3 linked regions of the Arabidopsis thaliana genome follow. The protein of the gene in region 1 interacts with the protein of each later gene in a pairwise test. Each region holds a gene or a part of one and is shown in the gene's direction. Other genes may lie near its edges. The genes, in order: AT5G05120, BZIP60 and MDA1.

Evidence for each region.
Region 2: the proteins of AT5G05120 (region 1) and BZIP60 interact in a two-hybrid assay, tested with the Arabidopsis thaliana proteins (one large-scale study listed by BioGRID).
Region 3: the proteins of AT5G05120 (region 1) and MDA1 interact in a two-hybrid assay, tested with the Arabidopsis thaliana proteins (one large-scale study listed by BioGRID).

The regions. Positions count from the first base shown.
Region 1 is NC_003076.8:1,509,318-1,512,422, forward strand, and holds AT5G05120 (C2H2 and C2HC zinc fingers superfamily protein), read left to right. Parts: upstream 1-1,914; coding exon 1,915-2,520; downstream 2,521-3,105. Other genes in the region: AT5G05113 (uncharacterized protein), read right to left, coding at 416-673; AT5G05130 (DNA/RNA helicase protein), read left to right, coding at 2,799-3,105.
Region 2 is NC_003070.9:16,135,249-16,139,007, reverse strand, and holds BZIP60 (basic region/leucine zipper motif 60), read left to right. Parts: upstream 1-1,544; 5' UTR 1,545-1,548; coding exon 1,549-1,985; intron 1,986-2,495; coding exon 2,496-2,946; 3' UTR 2,947-3,285; downstream 3,286-3,759. Other genes in the region: AT1G42980 (Actin-binding FH2 (formin homology 2) family protein), read right to left, coding at 3,552-3,682. UniProt on the Arabidopsis thaliana protein: Transcription factor involved in the unfolded protein response (UPR). Acts during endoplasmic reticulum stress (ER) by activating unfolded protein response (UPR) target genes via direct binding to the UPR element (UPRE).
Region 3 is NC_003075.7:8,376,411-8,380,169, forward strand, and holds the start of MDA1 (Mitochondrial transcription termination factor family protein), read left to right. Parts: upstream 1-2,017; 5' UTR 2,018-2,163; intron 2,164-2,355; exon of another isoform or gene 2,356-2,394; 5' UTR 2,395-2,404; coding exon 2,405-2,475; intron 2,476-2,562; coding exon 2,563-2,612; intron 2,613-2,713; coding exon 2,714-2,932; intron 2,933-3,012; coding exon 3,013-3,759. Other genes in the region: AT4G14600 (Target SNARE coiled-coil domain protein), read left to right, coding at 152-222, 374-497, 839-895, 1,507-1,668. UniProt on the Arabidopsis thaliana protein: Transcription termination factor required for processing and steady-state levels of plastid transcripts. Involved also in chloroplast transcriptional pausing, a general feature of chloroplast genes.

The DNA.
Region 1 (3,105 bases):
CTATACCATTTCATGTTATATGTTCTATGTAAACAAAACCATTTACTCAAAACGATCAAAGACGCACTTTCTTAATTTTCCATAGTACAGTGTCATAAGCTTCGTTTTATTATCGAACTAGGTCATTGCTGCAAGTGACCCTTCAAAAATTGCACTAGGAAGAAGCCTAGGTGACTCAGAAGCGCAAATTGCAAAATGCAAAAGATTGCACTAGAGATTTTACCTCTAATTACAAGAGAGATTTAAAAGGCAAAGAGAAAATCTGAAAGCCGTGGTTAAGTTATTCATTAAGACAATCCATCAAAGAAACCATGAGTTTCAGTTGCGAAAGTGTGTTGGACAGCCTCAGGTACCAGTTGCGATTTACGAAATGTGTTGAAAGTGTGTTATAGTCCCCTTTTTCCTTCTCAGGTAGCTAATAACCAATCAATATCTTTGCTTTTGAAGGAAAGACAGGTCGTCGCACCATCCAATCTACGTGCTTCAGATCTTCTCTGGTGACGGATTCGTGCTCCTTCTCAATCCTCATCAACTTGTTTAACGTGTGCGCTATTCCCTCCGGCTCAGTGAGAGATTGCAGTTTCTCGAACATGCATGATTCTCTTCTTCTCCATCCTCCTATTTTCCACTTTTGTCTTCGCAAGTACATCAACCCTGATCGATGTCGGAGCATACTCCGTTGTACAGACCCTTTTCAAGAGATGGCTACTAGAACCAATGATACGGCGGAAGTTCATCGTCAATCCAAGCTCTCAAAGTTCACTAACCCTAATTATAATACATATAGCTTTCTTCTTATCTCCAATTAATGTGCTATTTATAAAAATGTTTACAAAGTTTATAAACCTTGATTACATAGATGTTCAATATCATAAGTTTAATCCAATCTGTATATTTTAATGCTGAAAAGATAGCTAAGAAACTATATAGATTTTAATTTGGTATGTTAGAGTTGAATATCTTGTTTAAACCTTGACTATACATAGATGTTCATTATCTTAAGTTTAATCCAATCTGTCATACTAAGCCATGTATATCACAAGAAAGTCTGAAAATGTGCTATATGTCATAGTAAAATTATTAAGTTAATGCTTTTTTGATGTGAGAATCAGCATTATAGATTTGATGGTAAAATGCTTCCATCAGTTTCTCTACTCTTATTAAAAGGTAGCCAAATTTAGTTTAATTACTTACTTTTAATATATATTTTCATTATGTTGATATGAAAATAATTTTATTTTTATTACCTCCAAAGTGATGTATATGAAAATAAATAAAATTGCAAGCAATGGAAAACAATAGAAAACTTAAAGGTAAATATTTTATTTAAGAGTTGAGATAATTATGTACTAAAAGTTTACTACATAATGACACTAATTAAATCTTTAATTCTTGTTTTCTAAAGTTGACTACATTAAGATCTACTAATTAACTCTTTAAACTCTTCTAAATAATTTTGTTTTCAACTATATCTCAAATTTAATAGGGCAAAACCAAAATCTCCCTACTCACTTTGGAAATCAGTAATGTTTGGAACTAATTTTGACTAAATATGCTAAATGCAACAAGTATTAATTCAGAAACAAATTTACTACGCAAATTCGGCAAATGTAAAATGTCAAATATATATAGTAATTAAACATGTTATGTGTGAGTTGTCGAAATGATAAACTAGTTTGTTAAGTACTTCAGTTAGTCTTTGTTCTTCATCATGTTTCTCTATAACTAAGTCCCTTTCCATATTTCATCAATATGCATTTATCTTATTCAAACATCATAACATTACAACATATAACTTTCCTTGATATTAAAAGTGCATACAAAGTATTAAATCTTTAAATACCTATCCGGGTGCAATAACATATTCAAGCCATCAAACCTAATTTCTAAAAGCCCGATCCGATCGACAACGAAATGTTGTCCTCGGACTCGAATTACGCTAGTGATATTAGCGACGATGCCTCCGCCACCGGATCGATAGAGAATCCTATATACAAATGCAAGTATTGTCCTAGGAAGTTCGATAAAACACAAGCATTAGGTGGTCATCAAAATGCACACAGAAAGGAGAGAGAGGTCGAAAAACAACAAAAAGCATTTTTGGCGCATTTGAACCGACCAGAACCAGATCTTTACGCGTACTCGTATTCGTATCATCATTCATTTCCTAACCAATACGCACTCCCACCGGGATTTGAACAGCCTCAGTACAAAGTTGATAGATCATACAAGATGTCCATGGTCTACAACCAATATGTGGGATCCTCAAGCTCTAGCTTTGCAGGACTACAAAGTGACCCAAGTCAAGGAATGAACCAGGATTGGACCTTTACCGGGATCCCATTCCTACCCCAATCTCAACCTCAACCACTATCGTCACCAATATGTTTGGATCTTTGCCTTGGCATTGGTAGCTCCCAAACCCAACCACAACCTCAAGAACCAAATGATGCAACAGAAGAGATGGATGCTGAGAAAGAAAATGATGGTTCTTCCCTTTCTCTCTCACTCAAACTGTGAAATTGTAATCTTTCCCTTTTAAGTATTTCTTAAACTTTCATTCCTCACCTTTGTTTTCTTGCATAGTATTATCGGCTTGTGTCAAATCAGTACTTGTGCACTTGAACATTGTAATAAACTTGGTTGTTATTTGCATTTGAATTTCATATAATAATAAAAACTTGATATTGTTCTGACTTTGGGGTGTCAAATTCTATTTATAAGAATTTGAGATGCAAATCTCAATTTTAGTTACTTTATGATACCAATATAAAAAAAAAAACCACTCTTTCGAAAGGATGCGGGTTTTGAAATACTTTCGAGCTCCTTCTTCTCTCCGTCATCGTTCCTCTCCCATGGCTCAGTTTCTTCGACGCTTCTCTTCCTCTCCCATGGCGAACGAAGACGAATTCCAATCTCCGGTGGAACCATCACAGCAGCAATCTCAGGACTGTGTTTCGGAGTCTTATCTGATAGGGTTTGTTATCGCGAACATAGTAGGGTTAAAGTACTATTCCGGCCGAATCAACGGTCGAGAGATGGTGGGTCTGGTTCGAGAACCCTTGAACGTATATGACAATAATGCAATCAGAGTACTCAACACGC
Region 2 (3,759 bases), on another chromosome or scaffold:
TAATGTGTTACTAAAATTATAATTACTAATGCTATTATTGACAAGTTCGGTTGATAAGCAAGTCCAAAATCAAATCTCATCAATCAGACTTCTTGGGGACAAGAGATACGACCTCCAAATTTGGTTTTTGTCCAGAAGTTAAAACTAACATCATCTAGCTTTTTAATATTTCTATTGGTGTTTAAAACTTGTCTTCTATTCGTTTCTAATTGAAATTGCACTTTATCTACTTTTTTTAAAATATAATTTAACATTTTATTGAAAAATATATAATCATCAACTGCTTTTAATGTTAAACTACTTTTTAAGTACTTTTTGAAAAAGTGTAATTATTCACACAATCTTGAAATAATTTTCATCGTAAAACAATTTAATAGATGTTAATGTTGGAAATATATAAACATCAGGAATTTGAGGATGGATCTCTGTATACTCCTCATCCTCTGTATTATATTATTTAGATAGAGATTAATGATAATAAGCTACCAAACCATTAGCTAATTCACTATAGTAATATCTATTCCTATTTTAAGTTATGACTACAAAACATTAGCAAATAAACCTTAAATGAGTATGAAGAAAATAGTAAAATATATTTATTCTTTAAAATACATATAATAACAAAAATAAATTTAGAATTGATACAATTAAAGATAAATAATTAATAATAAATGTAAATCTTACATTAATTATTGAATGAACACATAGAAAATAATTAAATAATAACGTGACATTCATATGAAAATAGTAGATCAACTTTCACATATATAATTAGTTCACTCATCTGCTAGAGAACTGAAAATTTTACAAATTCATTCATGTGAGATTGAATGAAGATTAATCACTCATTTAAAATTGAATAAGGAAGATAATCCAGAATGTAACATAAATTGACAATATAATATATGATTTTAATTAACAAATTGATAACTTTCAAAGTCTAGAAGATGGTCACGAAGGAAGAAAAGTCCTCTCGGAGAACAAAGATTCAATCGTGGAAGATGTTGACGGTGACAAAGAGAAAAAGGGACTGAAGAATTTTGATTGATTTCTGAGAAATGGTCAAAGAAGCCTTGCTCTCCTTGGTCTCATTGTCCATCTCAACTACATGTACATCGTTTTGACTATAGCTAACTGGTTTACATAACTGTACCGAAAATAAGAAAATCAAACCAAGAGAAAAGAAGTGAATTAGAACCGAGTTATTAATCACACGAACACTTCACTGAGTACACGTGTTCGGCTGTGATCCTATTCTTCCAGCTTGAAGCCTTCTCATTGGTTGTGTGACGGCACATAAAAACAATAATCCTCTGCTAACAGAAACACTATAACACAGTACACTCCATCACATCATTGGCTAAAAATTCAAAAAACGCGTCCATAATCAACACGTGTCATGCTGACTCTTTTTCTACACATTTACTTGGTCGCAAAGAAATTTAGAAAAGTCTCAAACACAGTTCCTATATAACTCATCTCTCTTCCAATTTCTTAAATTAAATTCGCTTTTTTTTTTCTTCTTTGTATATTTTTTTTTTTTTGACCATGGCGGAGGAATTTGGAAGCATAGATTTACTCGGAGATGAAGATTTCTTCTTCGATTTCGATCCTTCAATCGTAATTGATTCTCTTCCGGCGGAGGATTTTCTTCAGTCTTCACCGGATTCATGGATCGGAGAAATCGAGAATCAATTGATGAACGATGAGAATCATCAAGAGGAGAGTTTTGTGGAATTGGATCAGCAATCGGTTTCAGATTTCATAGCGGATCTACTCGTTGATTATCCAACTAGCGATTCTGGCTCCGTTGATTTGGCGGCTGATAAAGTTCTAACCGTCGATTCTCCCGCCGCCGCTGATGATTCCGGGAAGGAGAATTCGGATTTGGTTGTTGAGAAGAAGTCTAATGATTCTGGTAGCGAGATTCATGATGATGATGACGAAGAAGGAGACGATGATGCTGTGGCTAAAAAACGAAGAAGGTATATCTAATTTTACTCTTGTTTGAAAAGTTAGGGTTTATGGATGGATTTTGTATGTTTGTGTTGATTTTGGTTTCATTAAGATTGTTAAAAGTGTGTTATGCTTTGAGAACAACATTGAGAACTAGGAGATACGTATGTGTAACAGTGAAGATTTGAGAAACGAGTGTTTAAATTTTGCTTGCGTATCTTGTGATATGTTCATGTTATTATGTTTATGTATGTGTGACGTTGAAGAGTTGATTGATTATGAGTGATGTTGATTTTTGTTTCATTTAGATTGCTATAAGTGTGTTATTGTTTTGATAACAACATTGAGAACTAATCATTTAAGTAAATGACTGTTTAAATTTTGGTTGCCTTTAATTATTGTTAATCTTGTGTTAATATTCATGAGCTGATTATGTTCAAACATAGGTATGTGTATTTTGGTTAACTTAAGATTGTTAAAGCCTTTTATGCTATGAAAAGAAACTGAGGTTTGATAATTGGGATGTGATTGTGGTTCAGGAGAGTAAGAAATAGAGATGCGGCGGTTAGATCGAGAGAGAGGAAGAAGGAATATGTACAAGATTTAGAGAAGAAGAGTAAGTATCTCGAAAGAGAATGCTTGAGACTAGGACGTATGCTTGAGTGCTTCGTTGCTGAAAACCAGTCTCTACGTTACTGTTTGCAAAAGGGTAATGGCAATAATACTACCATGATGTCGAAGCAGGAGTCTGCTGTGCTCTTGTTGGAATCCCTGCTGTTGGGTTCCCTGCTTTGGCTTCTGGGAGTAAACTTCATTTGCCTATTCCCTTATATGTCCCACACAAAGTGTTGCCTCCTACGTCCAGAACCAGAAAAGCTGGTTCTAAACGGGCTCGGGAGTAGTAGCAAACCGTCTTATACCGGCGTTAGTCGGAGATGTAAGGGTTCGAGGCCTAGGATGAAATACCAAATCTTAACCCTTGCGGCGTGACAACGCCTTTTTTAACTGCTTCTTTTGCGCATTTTGAGTTGTAGATGAGTGTCTTTTAGTTTTCTCTCTCTTGTTTTGTATTTCGCTGTTGAAAGTTTTCTGTCTAATATCGATAAGTTAACAGTGAATGTGGGTCTTATGGTTATGGATGATATCTATCTAATAATGCTTCTGCCTTTAAAATGTTGATTTTGAGGCATAACTTCAGGTAATATCACTTCTAATTACTAGATAACAATTCATTAGGTTGATTAACATTGATAAAGCTTTTCCTCATGCTAGTTTTTACATGTTTGCTTCATTTGACATTATCACAGTTTTTTTTTTTTTTTTTTTTGTCATCAGATATTATTTAGGGTTCAGACGAGCCAATCTTTGGGATTGTCACAGAGATTTTTGTTTGTAAAATGTTTGGTACGGATGCGTAGGCAGGTAAAAAAAAACGAACAGATAGTTTTATTAGAACAATGAAGATAAGGTAAAACTTCGAATTGTAAAAAAGTTCAAATATTTTCTAGTACATAAGCACTAGAGAAGAGATGATAGATAGTTTGCAGTTCCATCTAAGCAGCATAGAAGTTGTCGATGAAACTAGCTACGGTTCTTTAGAGGTTCCCATTTTGTTTGATGTTCATTTTTCTTTTCTCCAGTATCTCCTTCTCAGCCTCGGCTTGTCTTTCAATCTCCTCGCGAGACTTGTAGAACGTTTCCACGAAACGGGTCAGGATGTTGGTCGCTGCAGATAGGGAGAATAGCCAGAGTAGAAATGAGAACCGCGAAATGTAGACATGAGTACAATAGACAGTAGATGTG
Region 3 (3,759 bases), on another chromosome or scaffold:
GTGTTTACGGATATAACTAGACTAAAACGCAGCGTTTTAAATTAAACGACTAGACCCATTAACCCGACATTTTGACCCGTCTTTGTTCTTCCTCAATTTCAATTCGCGTTCGATTTCAAACCTCAGCAGATTCCGATTAGATTTTGCGTCGATGGCGTCAAATCCACACAGAAGCGGTGCGGGTGGTTCCCTTTATGGCGGAGCCGCTCCATACAGATCTAGGTATAACTTTATTATCAGTTTCTCGTTTTGGAATTGCTTTTAAATTTCTTTCTCTGATCTTTTGGATAGAGAAAACTAGAGATTTATGGGTCATAGATTTTGATAATTTCTGCGGAACTATAGCTCTATTGATTTGTATTTGTGGCTGCAGGGAAGGGCTTAGTACTAGAAATGCTGCAGGTTCAGAAGAAATCCAGCTGAGGATTGATCCGATGCACTCTGACCTGGATGATGAGATCACAGGTCTCCATGGCCAAGTCAGGCAGTTGAAAAATGTAAGAAACCCTCCTAGTTACCAATTCTATCTCTCCTTTGTCTGTGTTTTCATTACAGCCTTTTGGTTTTGAAAGTGGCTCTGTATATGTGTTTTTGTTCCAGAGTACTATGATAGTATGTATGTTCACTCATCAGTGAGTATCTGATTAATTAGTTGACTTACCAATTGAATTCTACATATTTGATGTCTGTTATAAACCTTCCTTGCTTGTTGTTTTATATACCATACTTCTTAAATGAATCAGTTGACATTCTTTACGATTCCTTGTGTTTTACCTTTTTGAACATAACTTATGCCTCATGATTTTGGTTAGTCCATTGATCGCATATTTTTATGCAGATTGCTCAAGAAATTGGGTCAGAAGCAAAGTTTCAGAGAGACTTCTTAGATGAACTGGTATGTTGTTGAGAGATGTCGCTTAAGTTCTTTATTCATCCATCATAGTAAAGTTGAATGTAAACACCTTACATCAGCAACATGCATTTTAGTCTTTACACTGTAGGCTAATCACTTATTATTATCCGAGTTATGGGTTACCTTTATCTTGTTTCAAATGGCTGTCATTATTTGGGAAACTACAGCTTCATTCCCAACGTATGTATAAATTATACCATAGCTTACAAACCAATGAAAATCTTGATAAAAGGGACTGTTTAGATTATGTTCAGACTTATACGCAGGGACTGGTCTGAACTCTGGTGGGTACTGGGTAGGAATATATATCTTCAATCTCGGCTAGTTAAGTGAATGCACTACAAAATGGTTGCAGCTTATCATTGAGTCTATATATACCGGTTTCCTTATAAAGGAGAGTATGATGTTGAAGATGAACATTGCTCTTATTTGTTTCTAGTTTTTCTTTTTGTTACCTAAAGAACATCAGCTAGATTTTGTTGCGTGAGACTGCATTAAGTGCTGTTATACAGAATTACTCTAGGATGCAAATAACAAGGGGGAGAAATGGTGTTCTTGTCTGAAACATAAAGCTTTTTGTTTTTGTGTGACAGCAAATGACATTGATCAGAGCGCAAGCCGGGGTGAAGAACAACATAAGGAAACTAAACATGAGCATAATCCGTAGTGGCAACAACCACATCATGCACGTGGTTCTTTTCGCTCTCCTCGTCTTCTTTGTCCTCTACATCTGGTCTAAGATGTTCAAAAGATAAAAAGACTCTCCAAACCTACGATGAATCTTCATTTCAATCGGCGAAGAATGAAATCTAGAAATCCCCTTGCTCAAGTTTAAAAGATCATCGAGAGTTGTACAAACTGGAGTAAGAAGAATTCGCTTACTCTCTAGAGATTATAGAACATAACATTTTCCCACTTTTAGACTTTTAGTTTTGTGTTCGAACAAACTCTTTTGTCGATAACCAAATCAATCTTAACCATTACCGGTTTAATTAGACTTTGGTTCAATATCAAATACTACTACTTCTTGGTTGTATTAACAGGGCCCAATGGCTTTGCTTTCTACGAAATCTCTACAACCAATTGGAAGGTTTAATGTTTTACCCTGTCTCCTCCAATCATGTCGTTTCAAAATCCTCTAATTTCTCAGTCCTAGCGCTAAAGCTCTTCCTGGGTTCGAGTTGATTTCTCAGTCATCGATTGAAATTTTCTCGGGAAAAAGGGCCTCATCGTCTACCATCGACAACGAGGTTAGTCGTTAATTGGATTTTGATCCGTCTCTCTACCACAAATTGTTTCCTTTCGTCTCTTGTCATGTGCTCTTACCATATCCGATTCGCATCAAATCCGTAGCAACATTTAAAACTAAGAATCTGCAACTGAGAACTGTTTCGTAGCTGGGATTATGTTCATTGAAGCGTTAATTTAATTCTATTGAACAGTTATTGAAAGGTGGTGGCTTTTGCTTCTTTGTTTCACAGAAACCAGAAAATGCAAAGTCTTAGTCAACTTGGACCTTCAGAGATTTTCCTTGTCGCCAGAAGAGAAAAACCCAGTACGAGGTTAGTTATGAGCGACTCGAGCTCGATTCATGACTTCTTGAGATATTGCACTTCTTGACTTTGGTGCTTGATTCTATGAATTTGCAGAGCACAGCTTTGGTTTACGGGAAGACTCTCTTTTAGACAAGAAACAAATGGTGAGTGAACCAAAATAATACAATGGAGAAAATGAATCTTATCTCTTTTTTTCACAATTTTTGAAAACAATATGGTTTCATAACGATGTTGTTTTTTATAGGGATTCGTTTAAAGAATAGAGTAGAGTTTAGTCCAAGACCTGTACCTCCAAATCTGATCGCAGCAGAGAAAGAAGAAGCTAAAGCTGTTTTAACTCTATTCTTCAAGAAGCAAGGTCTTAGCAACAGTCTCTCTTCTCGGTTAATCAACAAATCCGATCTATTCATTGACCATTTAGTGTCCAGGCTCCATTCTGTTCATAAAGCTCGATACCTCGTAGGTTCGATCTTTCTTCTTTAAAACCTTTACTATTTAATGAGAAGAGCTCGGCGATGAACTCTAAAAGTTTGACTGTAACAGGAAGAGAGCTTACTACACTTGAGATTCGAGATTCTCTCATTCCTTACCTCGAACAACTTCATGAAGAACATGGTGATCTTCTCGCTGAGCTTGTTGTGAGCTTCCCTGATCCACCAGCTGAACCTAGACTTGTTGCTTCATCTCCAGTTTCTGTCCTACCACCTCGTGGTGACACAGATTCTGCTGCAGACACTCGTAAACTCAGAGCGGTGTCTCGAGTCAGCGAACTTGACACAGAAGGTGCATTACGTCCTCAGACCCTTTACCTTCTTGACCTCGGTTTAAACCTCGAGCAGATCAAAACGATCACTCGAAAGTTCGCTGCCTTTCCTTATTACAGCCTCGATGGAAAAATAAAACCTGTTGTGGAATTCCTTCTAGACCTCGGAATTCCTAAATCAGATATCCCCACAATCCTCTGCAAACGCCCACAGATATGCGGAATCAGCCTAACCGATAACCTGAAACCGACAATGGCCTTTCTTGAGACACTTGGCATTGACAAGAACCAATGGGCAAAGATCATTTCCCGTTTCCCAGCCATCCTCACTTACAGCCGCCAGAAACTTACTTCAACTGTCGAGTTCTTATCACAAACTGGTCTCACAGAAGAACAGATAGGGAGAATCCTAACCCGATGTCCAAACATCATGAGTTACAGTGTAGAAGACAAGCTCCGTCCAACTATGGAGTACTTTAGATCGCTAAATGTCGATGTTGCGGTTCTCCTACATCGATGTCCCCAAA